Linked DNA regions of Tribolium castaneum. The protein of the gene in region 1 purifies or fractionates together with the protein of each later gene. This does not show direct contact. Links are inferred from orthologs where the notes say so. Each region holds a gene or a part of one and is shown on either strand. Other genes may lie near its edges.

Evidence for each region. The genes of interacting proteins can lie anywhere in the genome.
Region 2: the proteins of Srp9 (region 1) and Srp54k purify together in Homo sapiens (co-immunoprecipitation; 4 studies listed by BioGRID and IntAct, counting the BioPlex papers as one, with this or other methods). This does not show direct contact. The link is inferred for Tribolium castaneum from reciprocal best matches to the Homo sapiens genes SRP9 and SRP54.

Annotation. Positions count from the first base shown.
Region 1 is NC_087394.1:36,812,705-36,822,360, forward strand, and holds Srp9 (signal recognition particle 9 kDa protein), read right to left. Parts: upstream 4,755-9,656; coding exon 4,614-4,754; intron 4,564-4,613; coding exon 4,468-4,563; 3' UTR 4,340-4,467; downstream 1-4,339. Other genes in the region: syd (JNK-interacting protein 3), read left to right, coding at 194-446, 883-1,163, 1,237-1,656, 1,712-2,013, 2,680-2,932, 2,987-3,122, 3,340-3,633, 3,680-3,808 and 1 more; uncharacterized protein C16C10.8, read left to right, coding at 4,983-5,107, 5,156-5,387, 5,439-5,870; selenoprotein F, read right to left, coding at 5,902-6,229, 6,278-6,393, 6,441-6,488; serine/threonine-protein phosphatase 4 regulatory subunit 1, read right to left, coding at 6,756-6,913, 6,965-7,235, 7,286-7,893, 8,083-8,161, 8,462-9,125, 9,186-9,472. UniProt on the Homo sapiens protein: Component of the signal recognition particle (SRP) complex, a ribonucleoprotein complex that mediates the cotranslational targeting of secretory and membrane proteins to the endoplasmic reticulum (ER).
Region 2 is NC_087394.1:11,692,981-11,704,490, reverse strand, and holds the start of Srp54k (signal recognition particle subunit SRP54), read right to left. Parts: upstream 5,236-11,510; 5' UTR 5,105-5,235; coding exon 5,027-5,104; intron 4,975-5,026; coding exon 4,798-4,974; intron 4,750-4,797; coding exon 4,520-4,749; intron 1,971-4,519; coding exon 1,820-1,970; intron 1,771-1,819; coding exon 1,622-1,770; intron 1,565-1,621; coding exon 1,303-1,564; intron 1-1,302. Other genes in the region: protein dopey-1 homolog, read right to left, coding at 5,541-5,913, 5,963-6,130, 8,677-8,688, 9,208-9,397, 9,457-9,609. UniProt on the Homo sapiens protein: Component of the signal recognition particle (SRP) complex, a ribonucleoprotein complex that mediates the cotranslational targeting of secretory and membrane proteins to the endoplasmic reticulum (ER).

The sequences.
Region 1 (9,656 bases):
CTTAGCACTTATTCTACATTTTTCAAATTCTCTTTTAAATTTCACTGTTTTTTCAAAATTTTAACAAAATGTTAAATTGAAGTTCAATTCGAAAAAAATACTTTATGGCAATGCCAACTTGATAATAACTTGGCAGTTGATTATAAAAACTTGTCTTGATTTTGGTAATTTTTTTCACTAAAAAATAAATTAGGAGCGCTTCATGGAGTTGCAAGAAGCCGTCCGTTGGACGGAGATGATTCGAGCGTCCCGTAACGACACCGCCTTTGACAAAAAGAGCAAACAGAGCATTTGGAGGTTCTTTAGTAATTTGTTTAGTGGTTCGGAGCGGCCGCAAAGACCATTGGTTGGTCCACATCTACGTTACCAGACGGCGACCAATCAAATAGCGCCAGGTGTTAGAGCCCTGCCTCGACCCGGTCATGACTTTGTCGAAACTGAATTGGGTACGGAAGTGTGATTATTTTCTTACTATTTGTACCTGCTGTCAATCTGTGATATGTTACTACTAGAGTAGATCTGAGCAAAAATCGAAATTTGGGTTGGTAGACCTGTCTGCTTTTGGTGGTGCGTTGGAGTGCATGATTTTTTTTTAACCCCCGACTGTAATGAAACACGGAATGTTCAATTATTTTTTATCCATTTATTAATCCAAAGTTACGGTAACTAATCTAGTCTTACTCAATTTGTTACCACAATAATTGTTACGTTTGTTACAAATACATTTTAATAATTTCCTTTCGTGTTTTATTTTTATTTTCTCTCTCTCTCTTTTTCTTTATGTAAATACAGCCTGTTGTAGTGCAAGTGACAGTAGATACAAATAGTAAGTACCTCACAATCAAGGTCGAGGAAAAAAAAATTATTTGAAAAAAATTGTAGGTTCGGAAAAGTTGGCTTTGAGGAGGGCTGTTGAGAGACGAGAACAGTACCGACAAGTGAGAGCGCATGTGCGAAAAGAGGATGGAAGATTGCAAGCGTATGGTTGGAGTTTGCCCGGAAAAGTTGGTCCGGGAACGAAAGGAACACAAAGTAGTTCCGGGGTTCCGGTCCCGGTCCCGGTTTATTGTAGGCCATTGGCTGAAACTACGCCCGGGATGAAGATTTGGTGTGCAGCGGGTGTTAATCTCATGGGGGGTTACACCAAAGATGGGGGGCTTATGGTAAATAATTAAAAAAAAAATATGAGCTAAAATCCAGCGAAAGAATTTAAATGATTAAATAATGTTTTTTAAGGTGGGGGGCAGTGTCTTCTACTCGGAAGAGCCCCGCCTGGAGCAGCCCCACACCGAGCTAGAGACTCTGGATCAGGAGCTGAATGCAGGTCGTGAAGGGGCACTTCTCGAGACAAAATTATCGTCACTTGTGTGGATTTGTACATACACACATGCTGCTAGTTTAGTAACCGTAATCGATGCGAATAATCCAGCGGAGATTTTGAATAGTTTTGGGGTTTGTGCAAACCATGTTTTATGCATTGCTAGTGTACCTGGTGCTAGTCCAAACGATTATAATAAAACGTATACCAAAATTAACGTTAGTGAGAATGCAAAAGACAGCAGTGATAACGTCGTAGAAAATAAAGAAGACGAAGGGGAAAATAATACAAACAAAACGAATGATAAAAATCACGAAGAGTTGGAAGAGGCGGCTTTGGTGAGTCACAGTGTTGCAAAAGTGTGAACTTTTCTATTTGTTTTTTTGGTTACAGATTGGGAAAGTTACGTTTGTTGAAAACGATACTTCTGTGGTTAATAAAAAAGACAAATATAATAATGCAAAATCAACGGTGGATGAAGAGAAAATTGAGGAACAACCTGTTGAGGATGAAACTGATGAAAATGTGGGTGAAAGTGATAAGAATAAAACGAGCAATCAGGAAATAATGTCGAGTGTTTTGGCAACAATGTGGCTAGGAGCGGAAAATGGAATGGTTTATGTTCACTCATCGGTGGCCAATTGGAATCAGTGTCTGCATTCCGTCAAACTTAAAGATGCAGTGATAAGTATTGTGTAAGTAATTTAACTTGAAAAATTCAAATAAATAATAGGAATTTTTTTCTTTTGAAAATCATCGACCTAAACAGATCCTCACAAATCTTTTTCTAATAATTTTCTAGTAATCAATTTTTTTTATAAATTGTAATTTTTTAATTTGGGTAGTGATAATAACTTTGGGACTAACAAAAATTTTAAAATTGTATTTTCTCAAATGTCACTCTATTAATCATGTTAACTTTGAAAAAAAGTATTTAAATGACGTAAACCTAATGATATTGCGATCTTTGACGAATTTTTAAACGCTGAAGTGAAGGGTTAGTTAACACTTCTCTTGCTGCTTTATCATTATTATCAACCAACATATTCCTCAAAACTCGGTGAAAAGTTTGTTATAAACGGAAAATTGCGTCACATTTAGTTCGTTACAACCGGACTTAACTCTATTTAAAACACGCAAAAATTCCTACCGTTTGTGTGAAGTCTTGTTGAGGCACCACGATAAATTATTGATAAATTAAACGACGTTTACCGTCCGAAAACACACAAAAGACTGAAGTGATCACGTAACTAACTAACCTTCTTTATCTCGGCCAAAAAACACCGTTTTTTTCTTTGTATTCCGATAAATGATAATTATCAAAGTTTGAGCGGAATGAAGAGAATGGCAATTTTTTGCAGACATATAAATGGCCGTGTCGTTTGTGCTTTGGCTTGTGGTACTTTGGCAATTTTCGCACGAAACGATGATGGAGAATGGGACTTGTCCCGTTACCATTTGGTACAAGTGGGTTTACCACATCAGTCCGTTCGTTGTTTGGCTGTTGTTGGAGATAAAGTCTGGTGCGGATATAGGAATAAAATTCACGTGCTTGAACCACAAGAATTGGGAATAATTCATTCGCTGGAAGCGCATCCTCGACGTGAAAGTCCCGTAATTTTTAATCACATTTATATTTAATTAAATGATAATTTTTTTATACAATAGGTGCGACAAATTGCGTGGTTGGGTGAAGGTGTTTGGGTTTCGATTCGTTTAGATTCGACTTTAAGACTGTACCATGCTCATACCTACCAGCATTTGCAGGATGTGGATATTGAGCCGTACGTCAGCAAGATGTTGGGTGAGTTTTTTAAATATTTCAGAAAAAAAATGAGAAAATTTAGACAATTTATACAAGACTTTCGAGTTTAATATCTCAATTATTTGTCAACGGATTGTTATTTTAAATTTCATAAAAATCCGTTGACAAATGTATGAGATATCAGGCTTAAAAGTCTTAGCTGAGACACCCTGAATAAAATTGATAAATTTTTCGAAATAAACAAATAACGTGTTAGGTACTGGAAAGCTGGGCTTTTCCTTCGTGCGCATAACGTGTCTTTTGATATCGTCAAACCGCCTCTGGATTGGCACAAGCAACGGTGTCATAATTTCCGTTCCATTGAGCGAGAACGGGGCAAACACCGGAAGCATAGTTCCCCGGGGATCAACCAGTCTTCCCGGAGCGGGAGTACGTGTTGCTCCCGTTCCCGGAAGCTTTATCCCTTTTTGTACCATGGCCCACGCTCAACTCAGCTTCCACGGCCATAGAGATAACGTGAAATTTTTTGTCGCCGTCCCCGGAAACGGAGGTAAATTTTTTTTATTGAAATTGAAAAAACTAAAATAAATGTAAAGGAATGAGCGCGGCTTCGACGCCTTCAGAGGCACTGTCGACTTCTGCGACTTCGATCGGGTTGCCCCCCAAGCAGCCGTCGGCAATGCTGGTGATGTCGGGGGGCGAAGGTTACATCGATTTCCGCGTCGGTGAGTATAAAAAGGGGGCTAAAACGGATTCCTAGGAATATTAAGTGTTGGAGGAGGTTACTAACAGAGAGACATTTGCAGAGGACGAAAATGAACCGAGAGATGGAGACTCGCATCTGCTCGTTTGGCAGGTTTTGCCTGATATTCCTGGGAATCCTGTGGGGTACGTTTTGTTTATTTTTTGTTTTTTTCGGGGGGGATTTTTTGAGTTGTTGCGGTTTTTAGGTGATGAGATGGAGGATAGCGTTATTGATACTGAAACCGGTGATCTTGAAGCAGCTCAGGGCGAATCCAAAGGGGAAAAAAGTCACTTGATTGTGTGGCAAGTGTCCACAAGTTAATTAAGCAAAATGATATTTAACATTAATTGAAATACTAAACATTAGCGGTTTTAGATTAGTAACGTTTATAAAAAAAACAACTTGGACGATATTTTAGCTTGTGAATATGTTATTGATACATAATATTTTATCGTTGTTTTATATCTGTTACATGTAAAAACTATTTATTATGATTTGTAAATTTGAGACGTGTATTTAGGAAAATTTTTATTTAAATGTATCGTGCTTACACTGTAAATGAAACTTATACAAACTGAATGCTTTTTATTCAAATAAGACCCACTCACAAATGCGATTGCATTGACGTTTGAGGTTATGTTAGTGTTCTTTTGATGCCATATGTCGCATTAAATTGTTGATAAATTTGTCTATTTTTCGCACATCTTGGGCAATCTCCGTTTTGAATTGTAAACACTGAAAATAAACGCTGGGAACAGTCCACAAACAGCCTTTTAATGCCTTACCACCACATCATCTGTCATTTTTAAAATTAACACATTTTTTGAATGCACGTATTTCATCGTGTAGCGCGCTTTTGACGGTGCCTGAAGGTACAATTTCTCGGCAGCTTTTTCGAATTCTTCCCAAGATTTTAGATAAGTCATTTTAATTCAAATTAAAACTAATCATAGCAAAATATACATCCACGCACTTGGACTTGTCAAAACGCAATGCAACCAACAGTGCCCACACCGAACTCCCTAAATAAATGTTACTAGTGTCAGGCAGCCCCACTTTCAAAACGAATTTTTTTTCGTTTCGAGTTAATTATTCAATTGGGGGTGAAGTCGTAGTCACGAAATTGTTGCAAATTGTTGTTTAATTTGATAATAATGGTGGTTTTCACGTGCAATCACTGTGGCGAGAGTCTCCAAAAACCACGTGTTGAGAAACACTACAGTTTTCAGTGCCGGAGGCCGAAGTCACTGACTTGTGTTGATTGTTTTAAGGATTTTAAGTACGTATTCGCGCCCTTGTAGCATCAAATTTACGTTTAAATTATTAGGAATGAAGAATATGCAGTTCACACTAAATGTATCACAGAGGAGGAAAGGTACGCAGCTAAGGGCTCAATTCCTGGTGGGATTGTTAAAAAAGGGGAAGTGAAACAGGAATCGTGGACCGACATGATCAAGTCCATTGTGGACACGGAAACTAGTATGAAACCGTCTCTGAGAAATTTATTTAAGACAATTTCAAACTACACGAATGTTCCAAGGAAAAAAGTCAAGTTTATTGTGGGTTTTTGGGGGCAAAATTGTATAAAAAAATTACAAGAAGTGTTTCAGAATTTTTTGAAAAGCTCCACCGGAGGTAGAGTCAATTTTGACGACATTGAAGCTGCCTGGGGCTTGATTGAGAAACACAAAAACGAACAAAGTAAAAATAACCAACAAGAGAATGGAACTAAACATAAATTGAACGGCGATTGTGGCGAAGCGCCCGTTAACAAGAAGATAAAGACAGGGGAAGAAGTCGAAGATAATAAAACTAGTGAGGATGATGTATTTAGTTTCAAGGGAACAATTTTAAGAATTCTGAGTGTAAAAGGCAGTATTTCGTGTAAGAAGTTGCAAAAGAAGGTTCTCAACGCATATGTGAAGGAAACAGGGTGCGAACACACCGAAAAGACAGTCAAGAAGTACAACAAAAAATTGAAGAAATTACCGAATGTTGTGATAAATGACGATGTTGTCTCACTGGTGACGAATGAGCAATAAACAATTCCAAATCACTCGTTTTTTATTATAGCTAAATCATATTTGTTCTTAAATAATCATCATCGTCTTGTTGTAAGTGAGTTTTCAAGAACTCCTCAACTGAATCAGTGTTCCACTTTTCAATAGCAACGGTCTCTTGCAACGTCCCATCCTTGTCGTACAATTTAATGATGGGGTCAAGCCCCCTTACGTATTTAATTTGTAGGTTAGGAAATTGCAAAGGCCGGGAACTTTTAATAAACGCCTGAATCTGCGGATACGCCCCAAATTTGCAAGTACAAACCTCTAGAACCGCCTTTGCGTATTTCTTTTCCACGGTGGCTGACTCGTCCTGGTGGCAACACTCCTTGCAATGGTCCCTAAGAAACTAATTAAAAAAAAACGATAATTTGGGACGAAATGCGTACTTTATCACGTCCAGATTGAATTTAGAGAGCTGCTCACATGACGAACACAACAAATTTGCCTTGTTGAAGCCGAGGGCCCAACAGTCTTCTGTAGTGAATTCGGAAAGGCATTTTGTCTGAAAGTTATTTTTAGGGCTTGATTAACACTTGGGAGGGCACTTACGGCACAAAGGGAGGTGAGAATTAACGTAATTATTGAACCTTTCATCATTTTAAACCGAATCAACTAATAAATCAAATTGTTAGGAATTACATAACCTCAAACTTTCTGCACTTGCGCATTATCTATAACTACGTCAGGTAAAGTGTAAGTAGGAAAAAACCTTTACGTAGGACAATTGTTTAAATTTATTGTTTTTACTTATATTACAACTTATAGATAAATATTACAATGTATATAGCTCACAAGATTTAATTAAAATTACAACAAAGTTCATAAACCCAAGAATAAAAACAAAACAACTTTACTGTAATTTATTTAGTCAATGTAATCCAAACTAAGTGTAGGTGAGACCGATTCAAATTTATCACTGATTTCCGCATACTGACGCACATCACGATCCTTATCGGCTTGGAGCCTCCTTATTACAGTTCCTAAACTATCGAAATGTTGATTACTGGGATCCGCAAAATACTCTGAAACCAAAAAAATAAATCACACAAAAACGCAACACTCGAAGCACTCACCGTTGGGAATAACATGTTGTGCGATTGTTTTTGCCACAACTAATCTCACATTAGCCACTGGATCCCAACTCAAGTCCAACAAATGAGGCATAATTTCGGTTGCAAATTTTTCCGCAGGCAAGGCTTTGGCCGATAAAAGTTTGTAACACAGGAGGGCAAACGTTTGTCTCCTCTTCCATTTTTTCGAATGAGCAAATTTCTCCACTAATCTGACTAGGTAAAGTGAGCTGAGATCGGGCTTTGATGAAATGTGCCTCAACAATTCGGTGATCTGTAATTTAAAATTAAACACTGCCACTATTAAAACTAAAAAATAACTACCAAAGAAATCGCAATTTGGCGCACGGCGGAAACATCAAATAGCAAAACTTCCCCAATAACCCCAATATGTTTGGCCGAATCCACTGGTTTGAAGAGTGTAACAATAGACAGGAGCTGCTTAGCCAACTCGTGACGGAATCGCCAATTCCATTCAGTTTCCGTTTTTAAAAACTCCTGTAGCCGAGGCAAGCACGCCAATCTTTTGGCCGGTTTAATAATCTTTAAAAAGTAGGCCAAATTTCGCAAAATTCCTATTCGGACTTCGTCCAAATCCTTGATAAAGCCTTCGAAAATTGGTGTTAAATGTTCCGATGCGATGTCTTGACCCAAAATAAACGCTAATTCGTGTAAACTACTCGCTACAGTTCTTCGTACTTTGTAATGCATATCACTAGCCAATAATTCGATGGTACGTTTTAAAAGTGGCCAATTTTTATTTTCTAACGTTAGTGCGATTGCCGGCAGTGAATAGGCGCAATGGTACGACATCTCGTTGTCTATATTTGAGGAAAACGAAGAATCCGTCATTAAAAAGTAATGAGATATCAACACTTGAGGAACAATGTCTTGCACCGGCTCGGTTTTCGCAACCTCCTTCGACTCCGAAGCTGAAAAAAAAAATCGTGCAATATTTGACCCTCATTTCGCGAGTGCATTTAAGAAAAAACAAAAAAATCATAGTCTGCCTTATACAAAATTATCTTCACGGTTGTCGTTTTGTATGTTCTAATCATTTTTGGTCAGTTAACAGTTAGTTATACTAAGTAACTAGTAAGTAAACATTTACTAAACCTTACCTGTATCAGTTGGGGCATCATTTTTGTTACTTTCGGCCAAATTTTCATTTAAATTAATCTCAGCAAATGTATCTCCTGCCTACAATAAAAAACAAAACGTTTCAGTAAATAAAACTCTGACGCAACGTATTTTTCATCATTGAAATAGTTTCAGAATAACGTTTTGGGTGACTTCACGTACGTCTCAGAAGACCGTCGTTAAATTTCATCACAAAAAAATCTAAAATGTATCATCATAAATTACCAAGAAAATACTTACAGTTACGTCACGAAAATGAGGTATTAACGAGCGTTAAAAATTACACTTAATTATTAAAAAAGCCATGCAATTTATGATGACACACTCGTGACGTTATTAGTAGAAGCATGAATTACTCACCGTTGTATCGTCCACTTTACCTCGATCGATTTGAATCTCCTCGATTAAACTGAGATCTAATGGCATTTCAGGTCTTATATACCAATAATTGTATGAATTGTACAAGTGTAAGTTATCGTCTTCTTTTTCACTCTCACTATTCAAAATTACCTGATTTTGTTCGACGGTTGTTTCCGCACCATCATCAGCGACATCATCACACATTTTTGACGTACTTGGTTCGTCTATACTCAGACTCAAATTTGCAAATTCGGCATCTAATTCGCTACCTAATTTATCACAACTCGCATTTTTTAAATTACTTATCACATTTGCATTGCTTAAGTTAGTTTTTAAGTTATCGCCTATCACACCGTGTTCTTGTTCCACGTTTCTATAGCTGAGTACAGCATTTTTCACCGTTTCCACAATCTCTTTTATATCTTCGTCGCTTTGCGCTATCAAACTACCCGAATCCAAATCGAAATTCTCCTCAGGTAATCGCTCGCTTTCCAATTCGCTACTCGCACATTCGTCGTCTTTCTCTTGCAATACATCTTCAACACCTTGCCAATCGCCAATTCCTACTTCGCTGCACGATTGGCTTAAATCTGAACTGAGAGGAGACGGCTGACGTGGCAAGTATTTGAATCGGACATCGTTAGTCTCTTTGGCAACATTCATTCTAAGGAAAAAATTTTGATTCAGTTTTACCCACTTCTCCGAAAATTTAACTACGACTTACAAAAACTCTTGACCATCTTTATTCACAAAAATTAATTCGCCTTGACTATTATAGGCCGTGCTGGTTAAAGGAGGATTGGCGTAAGTTATAATAAAAGGCCCCAATGCTTGGAATGCTGACATTTGGACCCAACGACAATCATCTTGCAATAATCTTGCAAAAACCGGTGCTAGTACCCTTCGACGTACTTCGGGTGCACTTACAGTTGATATAAACATTATTACTTCAGCACATGACTTTCGAACGCCCCATATTGAGTCTTCACACAATGCTATATAACACGGCAACTAGAAACAAAAACCGACGACTACTTTAACAACCTACGTATTACGAAAAACAGACAAAAATTTGAATAGAAAAAATTTCAGAATGGTGTAAGCTATCGTTCAAATTTTATCAGAAGACCATCGTGAAAAGTAAACTCATCATTACTTTCTTGTGCAAGTGATCACGTTTTATAATTTTTTTTTT
Region 2 (11,510 bases), about 25 Mb from region 1:
AAGAGATTTCGCTGAAAAATCACGTGAAACAAATCAAATAAGCGCAATTGCAATCAATTTGGATTAACATTTCGTGATTTTCCAGCCATTGTTAGCGAAATTAATTAAAAGATTAAAAGACTTTTGTTGTGACCTTAAAATGTGCTTAAACTCTCGAAAAAATAAAAATAATAGTACCATTATCGGCTTATTTAATCTTAACAAAATTAAGTTTCTAATTTAAGAATGTGCTAAAACCCTCAAAAAAAACAAAAATTATGTAGGGCTAGACTTAAGTTGGCGCTTTTTGAGCCTCCTCTAGCGAAATCTCGCAGAAGACTTAGTTCCACAACAATTTCTTGTTCAAAAACGAGCTAAATCAAGAAAAATAAGCCCAATAAAATATCTCCATTCTAATTTTGTGATTTTTTAACTAGGAGGAAAAGGTTAACACGTTTTAATAACAGAATTTTGTGTTTTTTTTCAACCTTTTTGTAGTTTTTAGTCATTTTTTGATCAATTTTGAAAAATAAATGAGTATTTAATCCAAAAATAAATTAAACAAATTAAACCAAGGGAAATAAGTTGAAATAATCAATCTTATTTAGTAAATTAAGTTTGCAAACAAATTTTTTGACCTCACAAAGTAACAATACGTCTTGACGAACTAGGACGCGCGTCATTTTAATTTTGGGTGATTGTACTTAAATTTCTACATAATAATTTGTGCAACTTTTGCCAAAATTTCACAAAATAAGATTGTTTCTTTTGTGCAAAAAATGATCAAAAAAAAATAATTATCTCGTCTTCGATCTTCATTATAGGGATATACCGTAAAAGAAATTTTTTACCTCAAAATAATGTCTAAAAAATATAAATGCCCACATTTTTTAGCAAAAACGAGCCATAAATCATTCCATACACACCAAAAAACTGTAATTTTTGATTCAATTTTAAATTTTGCAAAATTCCTCACTCAAAAAGATAAATCTAACTAGAAAGGAGACAACAATGTAATTTCCGAGACTTCCTTTGTAAGTTTTTTGCTGAAAAGTGTAGTCCTAACAAAAAAGAAGTCATTTTCCATCTTCACTGCAAATTTTTGTCTAATGTAAGCAAATTTCGCACGAAATTGACGTTTCTAACTTAAAGCATTAAAAGAAAAAGAAAAACTATTACGTGACTTTTCGGCTTTTCGTCGAAATTTTTGTACATACATTTTGACTCAGGATTTTTTAATGGTACATATTTATGGTGTGAAAAACGCAATAAAAAATAATTCATTTGTGTGTTATGACTATTATGACTAAAAGAAGTACATACCATAATTTGTGAGAAGGGTCCCATTTTCATGATGTTCTGAAACTGTTCGTACATATCTCTAAGTGTGAACTGTCCATGTTTGATTTTCTCTAACAATTCTTCATTATCTTCTAGTTTCAATTCATTTACTTTGTCTATGAGACCCTCAATATCGCCCATTCCTAGCAATTTACTGACGAAAGGTTTGGTCTTGAACGGCTCTAAATCATCAATATGTTCCCCTGTACCAATGTAAATAATCGGACTGTTGGTAGCAGCCACCCTGATTGATTTTTTCTATTAAAATTTCCGTCTTTGTAAAATAAAATACTCGACTTACGCACTGAGGGCGCCTCCACCCTTGGCATGTCCGTCCAATTTTGTGATAATTACAGACCCTACATCGACTTTTTCTTTAAAAGCTTTCGCTTGAGCTTCACAAGCTTGACCTATGGTGGCGTCCATGACGAAAATAATATTGTCAGGTTGCTAAAGCCACAAAAATTACACAAAATTTAAATTGGAAATTTTCACATACAATGGCGTTTGAAACTGCCAACATCTCTTCAAATAATGATTCTTCTTGCTTATGTCTTCCGCTCGTATCCACAATAATAATCTCAAAACCCTCTTTTTTGAACATGTCGACACCATCTTGCGCTATCACCACTGGGTCCACCTCAGTGTAACTAAAATTAATTCATTGTGATTTGAAACTAAGTTGGAAATATTTAATGATGTACACAATACTGTGTTTTTTGTTAGTGTGTTAAATGCCCGTGTTATTAGGTTTTTCGTTTTTATAGTAATAATAATACACTAATTAATACTAGGACCGGTTTATATAAAGCTTTGTTAAAATTTAATTCGTTGTTAAAAGATTATAACACATTTAATTGCGAATTAAATTAAATCAATAAATCGGATCTTACAGAAATATCATAAATTATGTGTTTATAACTGTAATTCTATACAAAGTAAAACTAAGTAGTTATTAAAACCTATGAATTAGAAAAAATTTTCCAAAATTATACATTACACTTTCGAGTAGTTACAAAACAAAAGTTACAGAACAAAAGTATGGAACCAAATTACAATTTCACAAATTACACAAAAATAAAATTTATACATTATCAAATATTATCATTTTTTATGTAAAAAAATATGTTTTGATTTAAGTTAAAATTAAGATAAAAATATTACCAGAGTTATTTTTTTTGATAAATAATGAATTATTGAAGTTTAGTTCCGAAATCATCACATAAATTTTTCGAACTTGACCGAAGATGTTTCATATTGTAAAAAATCAAGATATTCACAATGAAAATAGTCTCATAACTCGTAAGTCATAACGTGAGGGTGTGTTTACAAAAAAAAGAATTACGCAACTTAGATAATTTATTTTAAAAAATACTGATTTAATCAGTACTCGTATTAATGAACTAGAAGTCATTTTTAGAGTATCATACTTAACCAAAAAAATTGTCGTGGTATGGTGCCATTCTGGCATTTAAAATATTTTTTAGGATAATTAAAAAACTACATAAAAGGAATCAGTTTTTAAAAAAAGATTACATTTTTAAAATAATTATAATAAATAATTTTCGTAAAATGAATAGTTAGACAAAAAAGACTGAATACAGTTTCAACAAGTTACGACCAACAAACTGTCAAAAATGGATAAAAATGCACAAAGGTAGATCTAGGAAGCAACTTATATTATTATTTTTTTAAAGTACTCAATCTGTGTTTATGCAGAATAATTAAAAAAAATATTCTATGGTAAGATTTTGGTATTTATGCCACATAATAATTTACTATAGAACTTTTTGAACTTCAGGCATTTTTAGTTTTTAAGTAGTTTTTAAGAATGTTTTTTTTTATATCAGCTTATGCGGAATTAAGAAACAAACATACTTTCTTAATACGTACCACCCTACCGTAAATCCTAACACAATCAAAGTTATTTGTAAACAAAATTTAATGACAGATTTTTACTGAATAAAAGTTGAAGATGAGACTTATTCTGTTTATTTTTAATTATTATCATTCGATGCTAAATTAAAAATCAAACTTTTTTTCTTAATTGTGAACACTATGGTAATTCAAGTCAAGTTTGATTGTAATTTTCTTTCGGTACCTTTAATGTTTGTACTTTTTATCCATATTTTAAAATTACGGGTGCAAAACCAATTTTTTGTTATTTTTTTAACAGGAATTCCTGAACCGATTTGAATTTTTCTTAGGGAAATGAAAGTTATCACAAAAATTAATAGCATACCATTAAAAATGTCACAGTTTTTTAGGGCAATCTGTATAATGAAAAATATTTTCCTGAAATGTGTCTTAGAATACAAATAGCGACTACAAAAAATGAAAAATCTAACTTAAATAATAACTGAACTACAAAAAACGAATCAAACATCCTGTAGTAGGTATATGGTGTAAAAAAACCGAAATTTTCTATTTTTTGTTACACATGTTGTTATTTGGATACTTAATTTTAATTACAATTCATCTTTTCTACAAATGATTTTACTGTCCTGAACTATAATTGGAAAACATGTAGTTCTATTAGCTTAAAAATACTGGAACACAAACTTATAACTTTGTAATTAGATAAACCAATTTTCAAACCTTTTTTTTTTTAGAAGAATAACATTAAAAAATTACAGTTTATTTGAAAAAATATCCTATTTAAATAATAAATTTATTATCTACATGTTCATGTAGTTACTTCATAAGTTATTAGAAATTTTATCTTCACATGAAGCATTGAAGTTGTTAATAATATTGAAATAACATCATATTCGGTTACACCGAATAAGAAAAATTATCCACTAATGACATGCAAGTCTTATTTATAAATTTATGACCATAGGGTAATAGGTAATAGGTAAGACAGTGTTAAGTGTTAAAATCTGTGGTGTTATCTGTTTGGAATTAACGTAGTTCGACCATTTTTCTGCAAATGGTTTCAATAATTATTGTCATATTGCTTAATTTTTTTGTTGGAACTGAGTATAAAGTCGTCATTATCAGTTTGTGTAAATTGTTCTTTAACAAATTTTCTTAAAACGAAACCGCATTTTTTAATTCAATCACACAGGTGTTAATTTCATTCATTGTTACCAACGTAATTTAAAAACTATAGGTCACTCCAATGTTTTTAACTAGTTAACCTTGATATTTCAAATGATTAAAACAAATTCCTTAGTGCAAAAATCTGTAACATTACCTTCCGTAAAACGGGATTCTTGCTTTTGTGCAATTTTGTTTAACCTGGTCATAGGCACCAGCCCTGAACGTGTCCGCACACACTAAACACGACTTCCAATTTTTCTTCTGATAATGATATGCCAGCTTTGTACAAGTTGTGGTTTTCCCTGAGCCTTGAAGCCCAACAAACATAATAACATTGGGTTTGCCTTTAACAGGCTGGTATGGCTTGACACCGGGATCGACAAGCTATAAACACCACTTATAACCAAAATTCGACAAACAAACTGTTCCTACTTTAACGAGCTCTTTGAAAACGGCACTCTGGATCATCCTCCGCTTGTTCAAGCCCCCTGCCATCTCATCAAAATCAATAACCGCCCTCACATTTTCCCGCAGTTTTTTCACGAGACGGATATTTACATCGGCTTCAAGCAGAGCTGCACATATTTCCTTGAGCATTCCATTGAGAACCTGCAAAACATTGGGGGCTCACCTAACCTCAACACCATCTGGAAGACTTTACCTCTTCGTTTATTATCGTTGCTTTGCTTAACGACTGCAAAGCAGTCGTTATTTTACGACCTAAGTCTGCTAAAACCATCGTGGAAGCTTCGTTTCACACAGTTAATGCTTTATTTGTTGTTAAAAATGTTTCAACAATTTTGACAAGTTGGTGACATGCTGGTTGTGGGATGTGGCTAAGGTTCCACCAAAAAAAACTTGGCATTGGTTGGCAATGGTGGGTGTGGCGCCAGATTTGAATGAAATGCGCTTGAACCCATTGTAGCAAAGTGTATAATTATCTACAGAGTTAAATACAAATAATTACATTTAGGCAATGCTATTAACATCTTATTACATCACAATATAAAATCACAATCTTTTAAATGCTATCATATTTACAATAAAATTACACCCGCAATAACAAAGACAAAAAACAAGTCAATAAATAACAAAACAATAAAAATAATTGCCACGTCACGACATTTTCCACAACTCATTTCAATACTGAACTCTTTGGAAATTGAAAATTACACTTATCGCGGAATTTTATCAAGAAAATCCATTTCAATGACTTTGTCGATTTTCTCCAAGATCATGATCAATTTTTTATCAGACTGTCTATCATTTAACGTGTGATGATCGCTGGTTGTTATTTTGCTACATTCTGTCCTATGTCGATTAGAACATAGACTAAGAGTTTTGAAAAAGCTGTGCAGATCCTTTAGTTGGTTAATACTGTTCATAGTTAGTAATAATTCATTTCGTTTCATTGGCAGAGTTTCGATTTGTGTATCAGTGAATTTTTTATCCATCAGGTTGGCTATCCTGACCACGTGTGGGATAAATGAAGCCCCTGCCGAACTGTGGAGCCGTTCTAAATCATCCCCCACAAATGCCCACCGATACCTAAAAAAAATCATTTTTTGTTTTAAGAAAAAAAACACAAAAAACTTACATTTGAAACTGGGGTAAAGTAACAGCTGGCAACAACAACGCCAAATCTAGTAACTTAGCCGTGGCCAACTGTAGTCTCAACCAATGAGGGTGGCCCAAGGCGTGCAAACCGTTGTTGCTATTCGTCGACCAACTTGCGTCAAGGGTTGATAACAGCTTTATATGATAACTACAAAAATCCAAATATAATAAAAAACACTAAAATTATGTTCTTGGATAAGGCTTGACCATGGGAGTCTGATGATAAATGCTGATCTTATTAAAAAAGGATTTATACTCGTCAATGTTCTAAAAACCTTTTTTAATGAAAGAAAAGTTTAGAGTTAAATAATGTTAATGTAACGGTGTTTAGTAGACAGAAATACAACACCAATTTGAAGTATTTAATGAACTTAACGAAATTCTTCAAAATATGGCTTTCTAGCTAAAAAACATAATAAAAATCCCGAAAAATGTAATTTTCATTTTTAACCGATTTTTGAGAAGTATAAAAAATTTCATAAAGCACCTATTTTCGGTTCACTTTAATAAAAACCATTGTGGTGCAAATGACTAAGCTGTTACCATGACAACTCATATAAAATTTAATGCCAAGGGTATGCTATTTGCACCACAATGGTTTTTATGAAAGTGAACCGAATATATGTTTTTTTTAACTTAACTACATGAAAAAGATTTTCGTATCAATTCGGCGATTATTCGGCCCATTCTTATCAAAATTTCCCTTAAATAAAAGCGTTTTCTAGGTGAAAAATCTGCTAAAACAGCCGATAAAAACAAAATAATATCACTTTTAGGACATGCAGTGATTTTCGGCCTAGTTAGTAAAATGTCAGAAAAAGACATCAAAAACGCGCTCAACACTAAAAAGAAAAATATTCTAGAATTTTTTTACACATAATATTATGGCATTTCTGGCTAAAAAGTGTAAACACTTTCGACATGAGTTAGGTTAGTATGTATCATTTTTAACCACATTTTGTGACTTCTCAGCACAGTTAAGCGAAATACCGCCAAAGAGCTAATTTTTGGTTTAAAAATGTGCTTAAACCACACTATTTTCAACCTTGTAACTAAAAAGTTTTTCGGATACTTTTTAATAAAATTTTGCAAAATAATTGCGTTTCTAATTAAAAAACGTACAAAAACTCTCGAGAACGACCAACTTTATGTAATATTTCAAGCCTGAACATGTTTTTAACTTATTTGAGAAAAAAAAAAACAAGGAAAAAGACATGTTATAAACTTAATAACTTAGTAATTTTTCCGCTTATTTTTGCTGGAATTTCTAGAAATTAGTGGTTGTGATAACACCACCATAAAAAAATCAAATCATTTGTGATCCAATTTTAAGAATTGTAAAAACTGTAGAAAAATACAGTAGTTTCCAAAAAAATTAAAAATTTCGCGACGTAATTGTGTTTTTAGCTGAAAAACGTAGCAATTCTCTAAAAGAAAAAAAGCTTGAAGACGTAGTTGTCAAAATTTTTGGACACTCTTTAGCCAAATCCAGTACAAGTGCAGTTTTTAGTGAAAAACGTGCTTACACGTTCAAAAAAGATAAAATAGAATCACTTTCGAACTAATTTCTTAATTTTAGTGCTTATTTTTTTACGAAAACCTTAAAGATTATGAGTCATTAATTGAGTATTGCTGGTTAAAAGGCTGAAAAAGCAAAATAATGTTATTTGCGACTCAACTTCGTCAGCAAATTTTCCTAAAATAATTGCATTTGCTACGAAAAACGTAATAAAACACATGAAAAAGAGAAAAACAACACGATTTCTAGCCAATTCTACCATCATTTGATGTACTCTTAACAAAATTTTCATTAATAATTGCTTTTCTAATTGAAAAACATGCTAAAACAGTCGATCAAAAATATTAAAACATGACACTTTGAACCAATTTGTGTTACTTTTTAATGGCGTTCGCAAAATCAGTAATAATTAAGAACTTTTTTGGTCCATTTAATAAAATTTTGAAAAACTGCGTTTCTAGTTAAAAAACGCACCAAAACTTACAAAATGTAACATATTTTAGCCGAAATTTCGAAAAAGCCGGGTTTTCAGTTCGATAACATACTTGCCCATTTGAAAATAAAAAAATTACACCTTTTTCTAACTAATTTGCTAAATTTTCAACTATTTTCGACAAAATTTCGTAAAATATAATTGCATTTCTGGATGAAAAAATGTGCTAAATTCTCGAAAAATCATTTTTCACATTTTTAATAATTTTTTCAACAGTTTTAGTTTAAAAAAAAACATGCTAAAACAACAATTTTATGTCCAATATAACTTAGTAATTTCTTCTAATTAGTTCGAGTCAGCGAAATGTTGCGGAAAATCAGAAAAAGCTTAAAGCAACAAAATATTAATAATTTTTCAGCTTTTTTAGCTGAAATTGCCCGATATAATTATAAGTTTGTCAATAAAAAACAAGCCAGAATGCCCAAAAAAGCATAAATCACATCATTTTAGACGTAATTCCTTGATTTTTCAGCCAGGTTTAGCAAAATCTCACGAACAAATAATTTTTTAGTTTAAACATAGCCTTAACAGTCAACAGAAGAAAAAATAAATAAAAACAATCAAATTTTGTTCAACTTGAAAAAAAACCTTATCCAAAAACATGCAAACGGATTACAATAATTAATTAGAAATGTTAGTACACAAAAGCATGCTTTAATTAATTACAATTATTTTTAATTACCTGTTGCCCGTCCTGCGATCGCAGCCAACATGTTGCAAACAAACAAAATTTTGTTAGAATATACCAATAGCATTTCTAGAAAACTACTAAAGCCCTCATTAGTGACATAACTAAGATACAAAATATTCCACCACTAAGAAAACAACCCAACAAAACCCCAATCGAAAAAAATGTAACCTATAGTTGGTCAAACTACTACAGTACACGACTTTTACCGAACCTCTTATAATCCAAACAATTATTTTTATTAATTTTTTTGTCACTTTTTATTTGTTAATAAAAAAATTAATACGAAACAGAAATTGATTCGAACTATAGAGGTTTTACTGTACTACACTTGTTAGTCTCAAAAGTTCTACAAAATAATCAAAACTGTTAATTGCAAAAAACAGACCTTTTGCCGAATGGCCAACTTAGCTACAGTTTTTTCGACTACTTAATTACCCCTCTACTGTAACAAAACAAATGAACATGTCTGACAAATAACATAAAATCCAATACCCAACATACAAAAAAACTGAAAAACCTCACCTAAATTCCTCGGTGTCGGTCAACAGTTCTTGCTCGATTTGGAGAAAAACTTGTAACATTTCGCTTATGATAATAGGCCATAGTGATGTAATGTGTATTGGACTCATACGTATCAGGATGACACGAAAACAAAGAAAAACTTGTGCTTGTACACCTGGCACATTCAGTCTTAGACTACTTGTCAATTGTTCTAAAGAAATTAAATATTTTGGTTTAGCGAGTTTTAACTAGAAAAAAAATTATTGTTACCTTGTATGTCCGGCATGTATTTGGCATATTGGTCCATTTCGCTACAAAATATCACATACGCGAGACGTTTCAAGAGCTGCGCCCTTTGTTCATACTCCTGTTCTCGAGATGAAAATATACTCAAGCTGCCGCTTTGGGTCAAAGACACTCGACCTACAATATTTGTTATTTTTGTCAAGATGATTTAATTCAATTTAACCAGTTTTGAAATTAGATTTGCAATTCGATTCATGATTAATTTATAATACCTAATTTAAGTAACCATGAGCACAAAAAAATACAGACATATGAAGCATCAATAGAAGGAAATAAAGTTAATCAAAAAATTGTATCAAAAACTATATTAATACAGAGGACGATATTAAACAAATTAAGGAAAAAAATGTAGTAAAATAAATTTCTTATGTCAAAGACTTTTTAAATAAAATTTAATTCACTACAACTTTGTTCTAAATATATTTTTTAATCTTCAACCGTGTTCGCAGCGTGCTCTGAAAATACGTACCGTCTACATTAATAATTTTTTTAAGTTCTTTTATTTCCGTTTTTCAAATTTTCAAATAGTGCAAAAGTTCATTATTTATTTGTCACAATAAATATAAAAACAATAATATAAAAACATCTCTATAGCTACTTCCAAATATAATTTTACATAATTTTTACAGTCCACATCCGCAACAACGGAATTGCATTTTTAAGAATAAAATTGAAACAAGTTTAAACATAATGTATAATAGAAGAATTCTGTGTTACAAATGTTAAAAAGAAACCCACTGATAAATTTAGTACCAAGAAAATCGCGTCCATCAATAATTATGAAAATTCTATTTCAAACTATTGAAAAAATGACAACACCAACAGCTATTGCCAATAGGAAAAAATTGCATAGTTATGGGTTATTCTGGATCATAGGGGCAAATTTAGTGCAATGAAAATTCATTAAATAAAAGAGAAAAATATTTATAAAAATTTACATTGGAATTGGAAAGATTGGAAACCGAATATACAGACTGAACCAAAATTAACACACAAAATTCATATCTTTAATTCGTTTTTTTTTGATAATTTTTCAAAAAAAATCCTTAAACATGTCGATTTTATTTTTTTAATGCTACAATTTTTGCAATTACACATGCCATTTTTCATTTGTGTTTTAGATAGTACACATTGTTATCTTTCTGGTATTCAAAATTCAAAAAATTCAAAAAAATATAGCAAAAAATTAAAAAAAAAGAAAATAAAATTAAAAAAAGTTATTGAGAGTATTACACAAAAGGATTATTAAGATTAAGAAATGATGGTTTTTTTGTTCATTTTTTGTGTTTAGGTGTCAGATTTCATGCTAATTTTACAAAAAAATTTATAAAAAATAAATATGATGTGTCAGCTTTTTTTAAGTAGAAGTACCTAAGATTTTAATTTTCTAATTAAATTAAAAATACTTTTTTTAGTTTTCCAACGCAACTGAGTATTTGTTTAGCTGTGTTGTCCATTAATAAACGAGCTAATTTACTGAAGACTGAAAATTTAGCTGAGAAATTAACCAGTTTGAACTAAGTTGTCATTTACTTTGCATTGACAAATGAAGGGTTCAGAAGCGAATCACAGTATAGAAATAAGATAATAATTACGCACTATGCATTTTTTGTGTTTAGGTGTCAAATTAAATGTTTTCATGCTAATTTTACATAAAAATATATAAAAAACAATTATGTTGTGTCAGCTTTTTTAAGTAAAGTACCTAAGGTTTTAATTTCCTAAAAAATACTTCTTTTTGTTTTCCAACTGACTATTTGTTTAGCTGTGTTGTCCATTAATAAAAAAGCTGATTTATTGAAGACCGAAAATTTAGCTGAGAAAATAACCAGTTTGAACTAAGATGTCATTTGCAATGACAAATGAAAGATTCAGAAGCCAATCACAGTAAAAAAAAATAAGATAATAATTAACCATTCTCAAATATTTATTATTAAAATAAAAATATAGCATAACTTGCAAAAGTAAAAAACAGAATCATTATGGAAAGACATGACTTCGGAAAAAGTTAATAATGT